Mytilus edulis: one gene and its partner. The protein of the gene in region 2 interacts with the protein of the main gene of each other region in a pairwise test. Links are inferred from orthologs where the notes say so. Each region holds a gene or a part of one and is shown on either strand. Other genes may lie near its edges. The genes, in order: protein SREK1IP1-like and pleckstrin homology domain-containing family F member 2-like.

Region 1 (9,572 bases), on a different chromosome or scaffold from region 2:
AGTGACAAAAAATAAACAGATGAACAAACCTTGTTGAAACTGACTGAGTGGTGAAATAAAATCATCTTCTGAGGAATCTGAGCTAGTACTACTGACATCTAAAACAATATCTTTACCAGGATCTGCCTTCACAAAGTTACGACACTGAAATGTTAGATGTCCAGCTAAAAAACATAATGAAAATAAAATAAGAAATTTTGTCTAAGCATTCTAAGGACATGAATGCCCTTGCTCAAGCTTTGCAATTTTCAATTATCAAAACGTTTAATGACTCACTGCCCAAATTAGAACTTAGTCTGCATGTTAAATAAAAACTTACCTAGAGTGAGTAAATTAAAATATTTACAATTTTCCAAAGTATAAAGGGGTATAACTCTAGAAAGGTTAATGAAATATTGCCAGAATTTAAACTCTGCGTGTTGTGGTTTTCAGCAATGATCAGCAATACCTTTAGTCCAGTCAAACTAAGTTTGAACCTCAAACTAATTGCAACAGAAAATGCTTTAATTCTAATCTATAGCATTTAGCCCCAAATATATACAGAAAGAAGTCCCATAAAATCTAATTTGAGGAAAACTCAAATTTTGCATTTTTAATTTCTTATAGAAATTAACATTGGAAAGGGAGATAACTCAGCAAAAATGAGACTTTTATGTCAGTTTTTGTTTGATTTTCTTAAAATTCATGTAATATATGATACTTTGATGGAGTTATAACTTCGTATTTGACTATATTATATAATCTTCTGCTCATGAAATGTACAAAACCGAAGTGCTATGCATATTTTTTTAATTCTTTTTGCACATTTTCATTAAAAAAATTGCAAATTTATGGCCTAGTGACCATTTTGAAAAAATGAATATTTGGTATTATTTCTATCTGTAAATTATATTTGTTCAGCATCTACCTTGTTCATAGAAACTTTAAACCACAAAAAGAGGAATATATGCTTAATTAGTTTTATTATTCAATTTGAGATTCTTTACCTTAACATGCTGAAAAATCTAATAAATGGTCAACTATTTAATTATGAAGTCTAGGTTCTAGCTTGATAAAAGATATGATAATACCTTAAGAGTTCTTTGTTATACTCTAAAGATGACTCAAATATCAAGAATCAATACATTCTGTTGAATAGAAGCGGTAAAGTTATAACTTTTTATCAATCTTTATTGATATTTCTGCATTTTTGCAGAGTTATCTCCCATATGAACGCAAATCTCCATAGGAATTTTAAAATCATGATTTTTTAGTTTTCCACAAGTTATATTTTATAGGACTTTTTTCTGTGTATATTTGGGGTATAATGCTAAAGATTAAAACTTATGTATGCTAGATTGACTGGACTACCAATGATTTTCTTAAAATTTGGATGAGGCAAACTTAAGTTAGAGTGCGAACATGAACAGACTTGCATTTCCAAGTTATACTTATAAAAGGGCATAACTAACTGTAAATGACTCTGTGATCAAATTTGATCTCTGTCTGCCACTTTTGGTTTTTAGCACCATGTATGACTTTCAGAAAGTTTGGATGAGGAAAACATAACCAAGAGTGGTAAAACAAAAATGGGTCAGACAAAAGGACTGACAGATGGACAGAGGGATAGTCAAGGGTAACAATTAATGCCCATGTTGCCTACGGTTGAGGCATAAAAAGAAAACATAATTATACTTAAAGGAATAGGAATGAAATAGTCATGGCTGGTAAAAGATTTCCATTACACTGCACGTCTTATGATACGGAAATAAGAATGCTATAATGTCTCAACTGCTCAATTAACTATTTTTTCTATATAATAGCTCAATAGAAGTAAGTAGACAGTTATTTAGATAAAAAAAAAATCATTCAATTTTAATAAAAATTAAATAATGCCTGAATATTTTAAAACAAGAATGTGTCCTCAGTCCACGAAAGCCCCACTCGCACTATCATTTTCCATGTTCAGTGGACCGTGAAATTGGGGTAAAAACTCTAATTTGGCATTAAAATTAGAAAGATCATATCATAGGGGACATGTGTACTAAGTTTGAAGTCGATTGGACTTAAACTTCATCAAAAACTACCTTGACCAAAAACTTTAACCTGAAGCGGGACAGACGGACGGACACACAGACCAGAAAACATAATGCCCCTCTACTATCGTAGGTGGGGCATAAAAAATAAACCAGAACAATCCACATTGTCAATTAAAGACTTGTGAATTGAGATGTCGCAAGTGGGAGCAGTGTGACAAATTAAAAACAAAGATCATGCAAGTGAGGAATGTATATAGCAATAAACAAACTACATTATTTCATGATTATCATGAAGTTTTAAAAGATATAGTAACTTGCCTATGCTGTTAAATGGTACACAGCTGAATACTGTGAATTTATTTATTTTTGTTGATACTATAGTAAAAATAATATATAGTGGTATTTGATTTCAAGGTTTTTGCAATGTCTTATTACAAGCCTTTAGAATATTTGTACTTTGTTAAACATGAAAAAGTTTGTTTTACCAATACCAAGGATTAGTTTACAAATCCTTGCATTTACCCACAAATTCCATAAAATTTGGTATCCCATATAAAGACTCTTCAGTATTAAATACAATACAATCTGCTATACATACCATATCCACATTTTTTACAGGCTGGTTTAAGTCCATCATTTTTATTGGTGTATTTGCTGCCTATGCCTAAAAGTTTTAAAAAAAATAATGTTGATAAGGCATCAGTCATGTCAGTCAAAGATTAAAATCAAATAATAAGACCTAAAAGATTGGAATATCTTGCCTGCTATTTATTATTGAAAACCCGAAGGGACTTCTTTCAACATGTTAATAGAGATTTTATTTGTCGATAGATTATATCATTATTTTATAATAAAAAAAAAATATCTTGCTTCACTTTTGATGATTTTTCAAATACCCGCAAAGTTGTTATAATGTATGTGACCTCATGGATTAGAAAATACTTTTAAATAAAATTCATCTGTTAGACAATAATGATAGGACATTAACTTAAGCATAATAAATTAAATACATGTAACACATAGTGAGAGGATGATAGAGCAGATTGGTAACCCTCAAAAAAGCATTGTCAATCTTGGCTTGGTAGTGATTGACACTGTATTCTTTGGTAACAATCTGTCATTGGATGCCAAATTGACTTTAAATGGGTGCCTATTTTTAACCAGATGTCGATTTAACAAGGTGCCAATTTGACTTTTTCTGTGGGTGCTGATTTAACTTTTAGTTGTATCCCAATCTGCTCTATCGTCCAATGTTTTATTTATATATGGCAGTGTCTGCGCCTGTCTGCGAGTACCTGCATACGGATACACTTAGCCAAATTGGCCTTTTTAGGCTATGTGTACCCGCAACCGATTTTATAAGAAAGTGTCATATGATTGGGAAAGCAACGTGAAAGATACACAAAAATTATTGGTTATTTTTCTGATTTTGTGAATTCTGTGAAGATAATAGCAAATAATATTTTTTAAATTGTTTTTAATGTATTAGTTAGAAAAATAGAAATCAAATATAAATGCATATTTTTACGAAAGTGTATCACGGTACGTCGTAAAATAATAATAGGCGTAGAACTTTTTTTTTCATATATATTGACATTTCAAATCTTAAAATCTCTGTGAGTAATCAATTTATTCTCTCACTTATTGCGATGTTTTCTGAGTTAATTTTACAATTTATTCCTGATCCGATGACATTAAATTATAAAACTGGAGGCGGGTGTGCGTAGCCGTAGCCTACAAAGGCCAATTTGGCTACGCATACCTCACATGCAGGTACGTACATACACTACCTATTCATATACTCATTATTACTGTCATCTGCGAAGAGTCGGATTTTACTATGTTGGATGTATTTTGGGAGGTCGTTTATGTAAATTAGAATAGTATTGGTCCTAGCACTGTACCCAGTGTGACACCTGATCATGTGACTGGTATAATTTTTAAAGATGACTCTTTCTAAAAGTACTGACTACTGTTTTTGTTTGTGTTCTGTTTGACAAAAATGATTCAATCCAGTTTATTATTTGATTCCTGTCATGAACAAGTTGTATCAAATTTGTCTTTCTTTGTTTACCTTGCATTGTGTCATAAATCGTAAAACTGCGGAATGGTCTAAATTTTTTGGTTAGGTACCTAAGGGAGATAATCTGGTATCATTCAAGTCAAAACTAAAAGAAAATCAACATTAACTTTCCATGATTATTACGAAATTACATTCTGTTTAAAAAATCCCATAAATAATCAAATATAATGAATATTATGAATTTGAATATGAAATTCTTAGTTTATTATACAAATACATCATTTACTATTTTATCTTTTAGTTAGACCTAAACAAAATGGCTGCGCCCATTGACATTTCAAATTAATGGTCTAGTTTGTTTTTGTTTGACAGGCTATGAGCAATATTTATATACAAGAACCGCCTACGAGCGGAAAGGTAGAAAATTAGTGTTTTACTTTGCTGTTTAAAAAAAAAGTAAACAGTCTTGCTATATTATAACTCCAGCAGACAGTTGACAATATCAATAACAACAGCTGTTTTACTATCTTTCTATCTGTATATTTTAAGCCAATGAATTTTACTGACACCTCATCTTGGAATGTCTTCTTCTTCTTCTCCTTCTTCTTTAGTTACAGAAAACCATCAACATTTTGAAGATTACATTCTGGTGCATGCTTGATTGAGGTTCTTCTTCTTCTTCCAGGTAAGGAACCAGATTCATTGCTGAATGTTAATGGTTCCGCACGAAAACTTTACGCAGTGTCGGGCAACACAGAAAGATTTCTCTTGGCTATTTACAAATTACATTTAAAACGTTCGCAGAAAAATATACAATTAAAATTATTTACAACTGGTTTTCCTACTTCCTTTCAGAGCATGCCTTCAGGGCAGCTCTGAATCCCTCAACGGTGTTGGTCGCTGTAACTGTCGTTGGTAGGTTGTTCCAGTCCCTGATTGTCCTCGGGAAGAAAGATTGGCCGTAGGTGTCTGTACTTGTTCTTTCTTGGAAGAAGCGGTTTTTACCTCTGGTCCGGTTATCATTCGGTGTCAAATATTTGTGACGGTCTATATCTATAAGTTCATGCTGGATCTTGAATAGCATGCACAATCTATTTGTTTTCCTCCGTTCTTCGAGGCTTTCCCACTTTAGATTTTTAACCATATTTGTGACACAGCCAGGTGTTCGGTCTGTGTAGTTGTTATTCACAAATTCGTGCAGCTCTTTTCTGAACCTGTTCAATTGCCTTGATTTTATTTTGAGCGGTTGGGTCCCATACTGTGCTTGCATATTCCACTGCAGGTCTTACCATGGACACATATGCAGCTGCCTTTACAGGTTTTGTACAGCCTTTGAGGTTTCTACGTATAAACCCCAAAGTTCTGTTTCCTTTGCCTACTGTATTGTCTATGTGTTTATCCCATGTTAGGTTGTTACTGATGGTTACTCCAAGATATTTACTTGCTTCCTCTGGTTGCCTTTTAAAGTTTTTAAAAATTTTGTCATCATGGTCATAATGCAATTTCTCATTGTATAATAATTGCATAATGACAAGGAGAAAAATTAGAATAGTTTTACAGTTCTGCCAACTTTTCGTGAAGCAAATGTGTAAGATTTTGTCAAAATTGAAAAGATCAAAGAGAAAAAACAATACATGTAGATCAAAAGAAAATGCCAAAAAAAAAAGCACACACATGCGTGAGACTTGGCAGGTTTTATATATACATGTATTATAAAAAAAATAAAATTTATTTAGGTGTCCATGTTTTAATTTATGCAAGCTTCTCCTCATTGTTGTATCTTTTTCAAATAAAAGATCAAATATTTGACAAGGTTATATTTGTCTTCAAATTTCAATGGGACCTGAATGTAACGGTCATCTTGTCGTGATGTCATATACATTTTGTATCAGATGACGTCGTGTTTGGACATCTGAGGTCACAAACATCCAGCGGTCGTATTTTCTGGCACATGAAATGCAACCTTGAAAAACAACTGGCAGTAAGAGGGTTAACAATTGACAGGAACATATAAATTGATACAGGTTCCAATTTTTGCCATTTAACTGACTTAAAATTATTCAAGGTCTTTGCCGTCACTGTTAAATCAGACCGGTTATTCCACTGATCCACTACTCTAATTGAAAAAGTATTTAGTCTATGTCAGTATGTGTTGTCTTACAATGTTTCTTAAAAAGTTTTTTAAGGAGTGACCTTTCGTATACATTTTGTAACATTATAATAAGATGGTGATTAAGTAAATAAGCTCAATGAACGTAACCTATCTTCAAAACTTAAATGATTTATGTTCTTGACGAGTTAAGTGGTCTTTCTTTGGACAGATTCAAATTTACAAATATTTTTTTAAGAGTGGCGACACCTGTAGCATATTCCAACTTTTGTTTTTAAATCGGTTCTCATTAATTCAAAATTTTAGAATGTACCAATACATGATCTTCAAAATGGAGATATTCTATTTGTTAATATTTATTTCTAATTATCCTACCTGATAGCATAATAAGAGGTTCTTTTTCCTGGAAAAATTTGATTTCTAACAGCAAATACCTTTGACTTGTTTCATTTGAACAACAACAAGATAAAAATGTCTCTAGTGTAAAAAGAATTGAAAATACTTTTTCATTATTGAATAAACAACTTGGTACACTTGAACAATCATTAATGACATTATAATGATATCATGCAATAAACGATTTCTGTCAGTGCAGGTTTTTCCATCACACTTGTGCTCATTGGTTGTAGAAGTTAATATAAACGGCTCATGGTTAAGGTCACTCCATACAGAAAAGCTGTAATCAAATTTGAGTATTGGAACACGACAATAAATAAATAGCAGTTAGCTATGACATGTACATGTATGAAGATTAGGATGTTCATTTACAAGAAAGTTTATGCACATATCATATGTTTTATAATAAAACTTTTCCATTCCATTCAAGTATTGAAAATATATTTTCATCTGTTACTTAGCGCATAACTACTTGAGCTAGTGAATATAATGTAGCTGAGAAAAAGAAAACATTAGTTAATGAAATTAGGTTTAATCAGAAGTATATCTCATCTAAGAATTGTGATAAAAGAAGGAGCACAAACCTTGTTCTTTGAGATAAGTAGATATAAAAAAGAAGGTTATTAGACTATATTACATGTACATGTACTTGTATGTGAAGCCTCATATAATTTTATGTTCAAACAATGTAGAAAAGCTTGCCTAGTTGAGAGTCTCAATGTTTAATCTGTTTCAACTTGATTCACATGAACATGACCATCTGTATTATGTTAAATCTATTTGTAGGTTCTATTAGATACAAGTGTAGGAGACATTGACATAGAATTATGGTCGAAGGAAGCCCCTAAAGCATGTCGAAACTTTGTTCAGTTGTGTATGGAGGGATATTATGAGGATACAATTTTCCATCGCATTATCAAGGATTTCATTGCACAAGGAGGGGACCCATCAGGCACTGGAGATGGTGGTGAATCTATTTATGGTCATCCATTTAAGGTAAAGTGTTTTACATCTTCAGTCAGTTTTACATATATATATTGAATAAAAACTGATTATTTCGTTTGTTTATTGTCAAATAGAGAATGTGTTTGGTATATAGATGCTTTAAAATTAAAAAAAACAACACATAATAGATAATGTTTTTCGTATAAATCAGTGGCAGATCCAGAACTTTTTGTAAGGGAGGGCCTGTTGACTGACCTAAAAAGGGGGGGGGGGGCTGGTCCAGTCATGCTTCAGTGATTCCCTATAAAACTGATTATTTCATTTGTTTATTGTCAAATAGAGAATGTGTTTGATATAGATGCTTTAAAATTTAAAAAAAACAAAAAAACACATAATTATAGATTAGGTTTTTAATATAAATTATAATGGTGTACAAATACTGATGAATTTACAAACATCATCAACTTTAAGTTTTATTTGCAAGATTTTGTGTATTAAAAGAATATAATCATGATAATCAAAAGGCGTTTTCAACATGTTACATACATGTATGTTGACTTTGTTTCCTTAAGATTGTTTCAGTAATCAACTAAATTAAAAACTTACATCGTACATGTTTCATGATATTAATATGTTTCATGTCACAATAAACATCATAAGGAAACAATATAAAACATATAATCTAACACTTGCCAACTGTTTTGTAATCAATAATGACTTTTGATTTGTTTCAGGATGAAATTCATTCAAGACTTCGTTTTGTTAGAAGAGGACTGGTTGCCATGGCAAATGCAGGGCCGAATGACAATGGTAGTCAGTTCTTTTTCACTTTGGACAAAACACCAGAGCTGCAAAGTAAACACACCATTTTTGGAAAAGTAAGATTTATTATACATGTAGTTTCTGTTTTGGGTTGTCAATAAAAGTTCTTAAAATACACAATTATGAATTATATGTGTACGCAAGCCTTAGTTTATTGGGGTTATATTTCCAGTTGATGTGTTAAAACAGATCATTGTCAGAAGAAGAGAAAATGCTTCTAAAGTCTAAAGATATTATAAATAATTTTCAATTTTCTTATTCTAACTCATTGAATGCATCTAATTTTGACATATTATTTCTTTTTAATGAAGAGAACAAAAAAAGCATGCAGATATAAACAAATAGCTTTACAGCAAAGATATTGCCACTGACAAAACTACAAATAGTTTATCTTAAAATTAAAAACATTAAAGAGTCATGATTATTAATTAACACTTCAATGGTCTATAGTAACATGTTATTCTCTAGTACAGGAAATTGTAGGAATTATCTAAGTTGGTTCAAATCAAGGACTATAGCAATATTATTTGCCTTCTTCACTAAACACATATCATTTCATATTAAAATTGACTTAGATTCAGAATAAAATGTCTAGATTAGTTACATGCCATTCTTTGGACTTACAACAAGGAGCTAGACCAATACAAATTTAAAATTAGTTTGTTTGATACAATGCAGAACATAATATGGCATGGAATAAAACATCATCTAAACATCTAGATCTATAGTTTTTTGTAATTAATATCTGTAGTAGTAACCAAGATGCTTGATATACAAAAATATGATCACTATGGCTTGTTCTTTTTTAGTTTAGTATTTACATCCTAGAGATTTAGCTTTTTACAATAGTCCTTTAATGGTATAGTATCTGTGTATTGCAGATAAGTCATCTTAAATTTTTATAGATAGCATTTAAATTTATTTATTTCTGTCATTTATAGGTTACTGGTAATACTGTATATAACATGATTAAACTAAATGATTGTGAAACAGACGGTACTGACAGACCATTATATCCACCAAAAATTAATAAAGCACAGGTAAATAATTTAAAATACTGAAACCAATGCTTTAAATAGACAAAACATAGATAGAAGGAATAAGAGAATAAGGAACCAGTTTCCCTAACTTACCTTTTATCAATGTCATATAAGAATGGCAACTGCACAACTAAATTAAGTATATGTACTCATGTCTCCTTCAGATGTTTGCAAAAAGTTCATTTTTCAAAGTACAGACTTTGTTTCCAACTTGATAT
Region 2 (9,374 bases):
AAAGCTTTTAAGAAGTTAGCTAACACCGCCGTAGCCGCCGCCGCCGCCGGATCACTATCCCTATGTCGAGCTTTCTGCAACAAAAGTTGCAGGCTCGACAAAAACTAGCAAATTAAAAAAAAAGGTTTGAAGCATGTTTGACTTCCTAGATCTTGAGAAATTTTCAAGGGTGGTGAAAAATGACATTTTTAACTGACATTCATTAGTCAGGCAAAATAATTGGTTATTCAAACCTTAAACCATGTAAACAAAATTAAAATCTTACACATTTACTACATTTGTACTGTATGTACTTAAACAAGGAAATATAAAGCATCCTATTCACATCTTCAAGTAAATGTATATAAAAATTTAAAAAACTACTTAAGTACAAAATGTACATGTAGCTTAAGTGTTTCCCTAGCCTGATCACATCAGATGTAAGAAAAAGAAAATTAAATGACAACATGATTAAGAAGTGCTACAAATGCATATATGCATTCAGCAAATAAAAACTACACATGATACAGATCTTATCAATTTAATGTGTATGTACATGTACCATGTGTACCGGTAACAATTTAAAAAGTAATATTTCTCGTTTTTACATTGTATTAGTTATACAAGTATTGAATGTAAAAAAAGTATCATACACGCTACATGCGCAAGGTGTTGTGATGTACAAATAAACAAGGGCTAAATGTGTTTCCTCGTTTGAAAGCTTTGCATTGCACATAATATAATACATTTTCTGATCAGATGTTTATACATGTACATGTATATCAAAGGTGATCTATGTCTCTAATATTTTATATACATTTTTTTTTTTGTAAAATCTCAAATTAAAAGTACACATTAAAGTAAAAACTAGAAAAGTTTACACTAACATGTCAGCATGGACCCTCCATGCTTTCATTTTTTAGTGTGATTCACATACATTTGTACAAAGCAATTCATGTTCCTGTGGTGTCATTATGGAGAATATTATATGATAATTAGGCTACTTTTTGGCATGTTCATTCAGAAAATCAAAAAGTGTTTTAAATCTGACAAATTCCATCATTCAGATGTTCAATACAAACTACTTTGTCAGATATCAGTTTTGACTTTCATATTTTTCAATTTTGTCTTACAGTGTACATAATGACATTATATATAATTAGGGCCTTTTCTTTCTACATTTAGGGCGAAACAGCAGAAACATCTTTTTGCAAAATTTGTTAATTTTTAACGAAATACTTACATGTACGTAGTGTATAGTAATTTACAAATTTTCACAAAAATGACAATCCTAACCCTGATCATTAATTTAAAACAACCTTTTTTCTTAAAATTTCAGGAATTTTAATGCCATGAACAGCACCTGCATTATATTTTTAAATCTTAAAACATTAATTGAGTGAGAAAGATTAATAAATATAAGGTACATGAAACCTGGCAGACTTACATGTATAGGCGACATGGGGTGGATTTCATGTTGAAATAAGCAGCGTATATCATGGATCAGACTTTTGTGTAAAATAATAAGAACAGACGAAAATAGGAATGTGTTCAAAATATGGAAGTGGGCCTCAGGAAGACGCAACGGTTGGTGCCGCAATGTGGATAAATTTACCAAGTTATTAAACATTTGAAACACCGTAAACGATCTATCATTATCTACGAAAACAGTTATGAAGTTTGTGACCGACAAAATAAAGGTTTTAGATAATACCGAATGGCAAAGTGAACTTTTCAATGATCGTAGACATCAAAATGGCAACAAACTTCGAATGTACAGGTTATTCAAAACTAACAATTTTGCCGAGACATACGTTCTCCAAATTATACCACGCTCGTACAGACGTACTCTAGCCTTGTTCCGCGCCGACACCGTTAGCCATCGAGACTGGCAGGTACACCAGGCCGCCTACAGCACTAGAAAATAGACTTTGTAAATTTTGTTCCTTAACATGCTTAAATAGTGTTGAATCTGAAAAACATTTTCTTTTAAAATGTTCCTTATATGAAGACATTAGGTTTGAACTGTTGGTCGAATGTTCAAAATATATTGACAATTTCTCAATGTTAAATGATGATGTCAAACTTGTTGAAATAATGAAATGTGATATTCAGGGAGAGATCCGTTTGCGCCAAAAATGCTTCCTTTTGCGCCACAACTTTTTTTCTCAAATGCTACGTTTGCCCCACATGTTTTAAAATTAGATGGTTTCATTTGCGCCAAAAATAAAACATACGATTGCGCCAGTTAAAAGAAAATTACTTCCTTACTCCTTTATTCGGACTTAAGCTTGGAACCGGCAGTGTAACACGGCACATGTTTCCTTTTCTGAAACATATGTTTTTATTACTGCTGCTGCATGGGTACTTCCCAATTTAATGTATGTAGTAGCTTTTAACTTCTTTTTATTGTCCAAAAACACAAACATTGAAGGATGAAATCCATAAAATAGTTAATAATAGTTCATAATAATAATAAAGCCCATACGCATGGTGGGAACAAAGCTCTGTGTCATCAACATTTGTGGCTAAAACATAAAGAGCAAAAACTTCTATTTTCTATATTGGCATATCTGTGTTAAGCAAAACAATAAGTTTTATTCTCTCTCTGTACATTGACTGTCTAATGCTGCTTAAGTCATTTAATTCTCTTCAGAAACTCGTCTTTATGGTGAAATATCTCCTAACATGTGATACCTTTTGGGGCAAAAATAAGAATACATATATAGTTATCATTAATATTTATGATAGATATATGTACAGGTAAATTGATGCAAATGAGTTCCGAATATTGGCGCAATTGATACATTTTGAAAATAAAATTTGGCGCAAATGATACCCCTGAAAAACAGTAATTGGCGCAAAAGGACTGCTGCTGATATTAAAAAATGTTTAAGCAAATGTTTACACAAGAGTTTTATGAGACGAAAATTATTTTCTTAATTATTACTAATAACATACTAGTTGTAAAAGTCTATTTTATGATTTTAAAGTCACTGCGATTAATTTATGATAATATAATTACATGTAGATATGCAAATTGTTAATTTTTAGATAAAATTATTTCAAAACTTAAAATATATTTTTTATTCTTTTTTACTTTAAGCACGTTAAGTATTTCCATACTTTTTAAACAGCATTCTTTTTAGATTTTTATTTTTTTACTCAGACAAGTATATATGCTTTTAAATGCATAAATATGTTTTATCTTTTTTTATGATAATTTTATGAATTTTACCGTGAAACTATATTAATTTGTATATAACATGTGTTAAGTGTCTCATAAGTCAAATTTATGACTGGGTATTGATTGTTTTATTGAATACTGTGATTTGTAATAATTGTCAATCAATATGTGACACTATAATAAAATAATTATTTATTTATTTATTTATTATAATGTTTTAGAACAAAACAATTGTTTGGTATTGTCAGCAAGAAAAAATATTAAACACCACCATACAAATCAAATCATTTTATTGGTGTAAAATCCTAATGTTGGATTGTTACCAAGCCAAACATGACAATCATTACAAACATGATACAATATCAAAATTTAAACACCATACATGTACTTTAGAAAAATTGGAAAAACAGTTGAATTGATAAATAAAAAATATTTAAGTTGCTTTAATAAATGAAAATCCTACTTGATTCAAAAGTTTTCAGTGCATGAATGCTCCACTTTAACATTGCATATTGTTTTAAATTCCAGTTTCTGAACAAAACGAACACTTTGATGTGTCATGAATGTACAATGTACATGTATGTGTCATATTGTTATAGTAATTAATGGGAAGTTTACTATACAGAAACTGAAATTAATACATGTACTTCCTAGAATTGTTTTAAAACACTCCTTCCCTGTCGTCTAGATTTTATCTATTTATTGTTTATTTTAAAATGTACTTGCTGTAATACCATTAAGTATTTTATGTACACAGTATGTTATATACATAAAAAACATATTAGAAAAATAATAATTCTGGGGAGATCACTTGAAAATGATGCAGTATTCATAGTCTAGGTCTCGGATCGGTATTCTTATCTTATTTATAAACATGATAAAGTGAAACTAAACTCTTAACTGTTCTATATATAAAAATCATTGTTTGAATGCTAATTTTACGATAATCGATATAATTCATCATCGCGAATTCAAAAACTTTGTAAAACTGCTTCCTAACAATCAATTTATTATTCTTCCGGACTTCTGAATAACAGTGAGCAATATTTCTAAGTAGCAACCCACCCAATCGGTCTACCATGTTGACAAATGACAGCTCAACGATGTGCAACATATGAAAAATCTATCGAGACGTCTAAAATAAAATCAGTCGACGTGAAAGAGAATGTACAAAATTCGGAAAGTTTCTATGAATACAAAAAAGAAGATACCTTATTTCCAGCGGGGCCTTTTTATGACGAGACTTTGAGTTAACACCAAAGATTGACACGTAGAAATACAAACAAAAATTAAAGCCTCAGCATAATTGATAAAACAAAATCACTGTTAAAGATGGCTTTAAATTTGTCCATCAAATTTTTTTTCGCTGACTTGTACTTCACTGAAATTATATTTATTCAGAGCAATTGTAATTCGTTTCTGGTAGCGAATTCCAGTCTTTCTTTACACCAAATAAGGCGGTGGTGGATTCACACCCTTTATTTCCTAGTATATGAAAGTTTTTACTATCATATACTAGATCTTGTATTGAATGTTTTATTTCTAACAAAATAAGTAATAACTATATGCAAATAATTTGTGCATATATTGCTTTAAATATAGAAAACATGATTGAGACTTAGTTGTTTGACTCTATTCCTGATATTAAAAAAAGAACTATTTCTCAAATTCAATGTATATATATGTTACACTCCGTTTCAGGAATGTAGCTTCAGAAAAAATCTCACAGTCTCAGTTTGTGCCACTTGAAGTTTATTTTTCATTTGTTTTGATAATTACCTTCAGATCAGCATACTTATAGTCAAAATAACATATTGGATCAGAGAAGAGCACAGTGTTTTCCAAGCGGAGCGAGGCAAAAAAAATTTGGCGAGGGCTCAAGGCCCCCAGAAGCTCTGAGAAAAATAACGCAAAATCGTGCATTCTGAGCGTTTCCCGCACTCTTTCTGACATTGAAACGCAATTAATTTTTTAGCTTTTTTTCAACAATATATTGGTCTGAAAGCAAAAACATAGATTCATTGTAATTTAAGACTTTAAGATTTTATGGACAACATTAAAAGACCGATATATAGGACAAAGCAAAATTCGTAATTCTCAAAATCATTAATTCCGGATCTCTCTGTCTGATTGTCTGATTTAGTCTTGTATTGTGCTTAGACTTTGGTGATATTTTTATGACTAGATTGAAATATAGTGACAGTGCAGTATTATGCTTTAAATACTAGTACTGCTTAAGTCGACACTCGGGACCATCTTGACCCTGTTTTACGGTATTAATGATTCTTTTATTTTTTGAAGACCCTCCAGCAACTTTGACCAATTGATTGATCATTAGTATTTTTTTATGCATTGACTTTGTGTGCGATTAGGTTTCGTGTACATTTACTCCATATTCCTTTGTTTTCTGTAAAAGGGTCTGAACATTACTTAATGCAAGTTTAACCCATCAGTGGAAATGGTCATATGGCAATACATTACTGTTTTTTTTTTCAAATAATTTGATACTGGAAAATTGGTGACCTAACTTTAATTTAAACCATGTCAGCTATCTAGTTTTATCAACGAAAAGAAACCAGTTGTGAATTCTTTGATATCAAATTCAATTCTCCATGCAGAAACGACAATTTTTTTCTGTGTCTTGTATATTCTTAAAACATTTTCTCGCACAATATCTGGACATCGGTGGGCATGCAACATTGCAAAACCGCACGCTTACAAATGAAAATCAACACTCAGACTATTGTGATAAAGTAGGACAATAAATGAGCAAAAGACAAACTCGGGACACAGAAGTTCAAACAATAGACTGTCAACTATGAAAACTCAAAGTAAAAAAGAAACATGGATCACGGAAAACATGCAGGGGCGACACCAGAGAGCGAAGAGAACTTGCTTCTTGTTAGACACTTTCCGTGAAAACAATTTGATTTTAAAACAATCTTTTGTTTAATTTTTTTTTTTTTTAATTTCTAGCATGAGGCATTTGCCTCATTTGCCTCAAGGTAGTTACGGCCCTGCCATGTCTCTGTACAAATCGCTATTTTCTCACAGCCGATAGAAAAGCACCTATAAGAGAATATTTTGCAGGAGCCGGCAAAATTAAATAGCCACTTCTTGTTATAAGGACTTATAAACTGGTTAAACATGTTAAAAGATCCGTTCCGTAATGGAGACATAACCACATCCGTCATTTCGTTCGAGTAGTATTATGATCCAAAATTTTGGAAGAAAAATAATTAGATTTCATCAAAATCGTTGCTTCAAATATTGAATTTTCAATTGTTTGTTCATCCTTGATTTCATAGTCGTTCATTTGATATATAAAATATTTTTCCCGGTGAAATAGAAATAAAAATATATTAATTTGCATGTGGATCACCACGCCTATCAAATCATATGATAATCGACAAACTAACTTGAAAATGGTTTCGTGTCCTATTTGTGGACCAAAGCTGTCCATTTGTTGTACAGTACTTAGTATTTGGGGTGTTGTTATGTTGGTTAGTATTTGAGTAAAGTCGTTGATAATCAAAATTGAAAAAAAAATTAATGTAAACAAATGCTAAACCAGTTTGAAACTGAAATCTTCGTGCGTGCATCCCGTTGGCATTGAAACCATAAACTTACAGGCACTTGTTTCTATCCATTGGAAGACCCAATATCAACGTATATTTACGTTGATAGTGGGTCCTTCCATGGATAGAAACAAGTGCCTATGCAACTAGCCCTGCAGCGTACTTACTCAGATTCAGACGACAGACTGCCATATAATATAATAATATCATGATATCTTCCTTATCATGCTTATGTATGTATGAACTGGTAAATTCCTCAAAGAACCCCTCGAAAGCTGGGAGGGTACAATGGAATCCATGTACACTCCCTATAGGGATTAATTTAGATGTGTCACTATCGTATAATAACAATTTTTTATAAGGACAATCCATCCCCACCCAACACAAACGGAGGGCAAGGACACCAGGAAGCCTGGTATTATGTGGAGGAAGTCAAAGTACTTGGAGAGAACCATAGGGCCACTCGATGGAAACAGACAAACAGACCTGCCAACTTTCCTGATTTTGGCGGTATCGTCCCAATTTTCATGCCTTAACCTGAATCCCGATATCGGGATCGTAAAACAAGCCATAAACTTGATTTTCACCAAATTTACCTAAAAAATAATATTAGTTAATGATTTTGAAGTTTTTCTGATCAATTTCCATAAATCTATAATTTTACCTGGCGACATATTTATGACCCCACACTTATCACCAATCACAACAGGTGTCATTATTTGTTTGTTTCAAGTAATCCTCTTATCTGATTGGTCATAAAAATCTTTTAAATTAATCATAATTTGTAAACAGAATCGGTCAGTCGGCATTTCATCATCATACAATCACAAATTTGCAACGTTAACCGTAGTTTCATGACACAATCGTAATTAACTGAAAGACGAAAACTGTGATTAACTCATAAGAAAGCAGCGTTTATTCTGAAATCCATTTAAAATTTAAAAGCTGTATCAAGCTTGTCCGTCGGAACAAGTACAATTATTCTGCAGAAAATAAATTTAATCCAACTTTGATGAACAAAGTAATTTATTATAAACAAAAAACAAGAAAACAAATATTAATTTGACATGTTTCTGTATTCTGTTTATCATGTTTATTCAAATGCAAAACCTTTTTCTTCAACATGTTAACTTGCAATCGATAATTTATAACTGGTTCATTGTCAGGTACTTTTTAACAGATAAAAGGTATACTATTCTGGAAACCAGTCTTACTGATCTGAATCAATGATGGGGTTACACTAAAGACCTGAAAGTGGACCTGAAAAGACCTGAAAATATACTACTAAAAGTATTCAAATTGCAATAACTTTTTTTTTATTGGATGGAATTTCTTCAAGTTGGAATTTTACTAATTGCAAATATCCATATTTCATTTAACAATGTTTTAAATTTAAACTTTTTAAAATAAAAACAAATTTTTGATGTCAAAAGTTGGACCTGAAGCTTAAGGGAGAAATGAAAAGACCTGAAGGGACCGGAAAATCTATGGTCGGACCAATTCTAACTTCTAAAAAATAGTTTACAAAGAAATGCTGAAAAAATTGTAACCCTTAAAATTTGGTCGCGCCCTGAATCCCCCATGGTCATTTTCAAAAGTTGGCAGGTCTGGACAAACCTGAAAGATATCAGAAAATTGATCTCCAGGTCAAAGAAGGGGACATACTTGACCAACCAAGGCCCCAAATTAAAATGCCTAGTCTAGTTTAAACTCTCGTCTGGTTACTAGAGAAGTGTGTGGGAGGGTAAAATCACCATTGTGATGCACTGAAATTTCTAGCACATCAAGTCAGAATAGAATCCAGTACCTTCAGCACTGTAGCCATTGGTCTTAACCACTAGACCACAAACCCCCTACCTCAACTGTCAGTGGACATGTCCATTTCATTAACCAAACAACTATTTTTTATGCCCCACCATCATGTATGATAGTAAAATATGTCTGTAATAACTGAAGGGTGTTGTCACAGCTTCTCTATCAATGCATGTCTATATCACTCTAAATTTAAGGCATTTCCTTAGACATAGATCATACTTACCAATGTATTTTATTTTAAGAAATAATGACCAGAGCATGTAATGAGGTTCTGCCCAAGCTTTCCAGTAATTCCCAATTGCAAGTGTCTCATATAATAAGTTACATTCTTTTAATAACTAAGCCTTGTTATTACAGCTAAGTTTATCACTTAAAAGCTTCGTCTCATTGATTTATCATGGTTAATAAAAAATGTATTACTGTGAAAGTATTTTTATTCGTGTGGAACAAATTTTTGTGGCTTTCGTGGATGACTTTATCCACAAGGTTAAGTGTCCAACGAAATAAAACAACCGTTGTCCAAAATCAAGACCTGGAAATATTTCCATGTTGTTATGACTTCTGATATGATCTAGAGAATACATGTATTGAATATCGCCAAATCTGAGAATACTTAAATAGTAGTCACAGGGCAAACGCACTATAAACTACAACTATGAATTTACTTTTAATCATCCCTGACAAGTGCCATAAACAGAAGACAGATCAAATTATTGATACATATTACCTGTTTATTGTTTAATCAAACTATTATCACTTGTTAATTAGCTGCCATCCAAGTTAAAATCTATTGCAATTTCATAATCTGGTACATA

The links.
Region 1: the proteins of pleckstrin homology domain-containing family F member 2-like (region 2) and protein SREK1IP1-like interact in a two-hybrid assay, tested with the Caenorhabditis elegans proteins (2 studies listed by BioGRID). The link is inferred for Mytilus edulis from reciprocal best matches to the Caenorhabditis elegans genes ZK632.12 and C13F10.7.

Annotation. Positions count from the first base shown.
Region 1 is NC_092344.1:100,219,800-100,229,371, forward strand, and holds the start of protein SREK1IP1-like, read right to left. Parts: upstream 4,183-9,572; 5' UTR 4,100-4,182; coding exon 4,093-4,099; intron 2,683-4,092; coding exon 2,617-2,682; intron 165-2,616; coding exon 30-164; intron 1-29. Other genes in the region: spliceosome-associated protein CWC27 homolog, read left to right, coding at 4,417-4,458, 7,334-7,543, 8,227-8,370, 9,256-9,354.
Region 2 is NC_092350.1:31,052,818-31,062,191, reverse strand, and holds the start of pleckstrin homology domain-containing family F member 2-like, read right to left. Parts: upstream 4,336-9,374; 5' UTR 4,281-4,335; coding exon 4,232-4,280; intron 1-4,231. Other genes in the region: ribonuclease kappa-A-like, read left to right, coding at 6,538-6,669.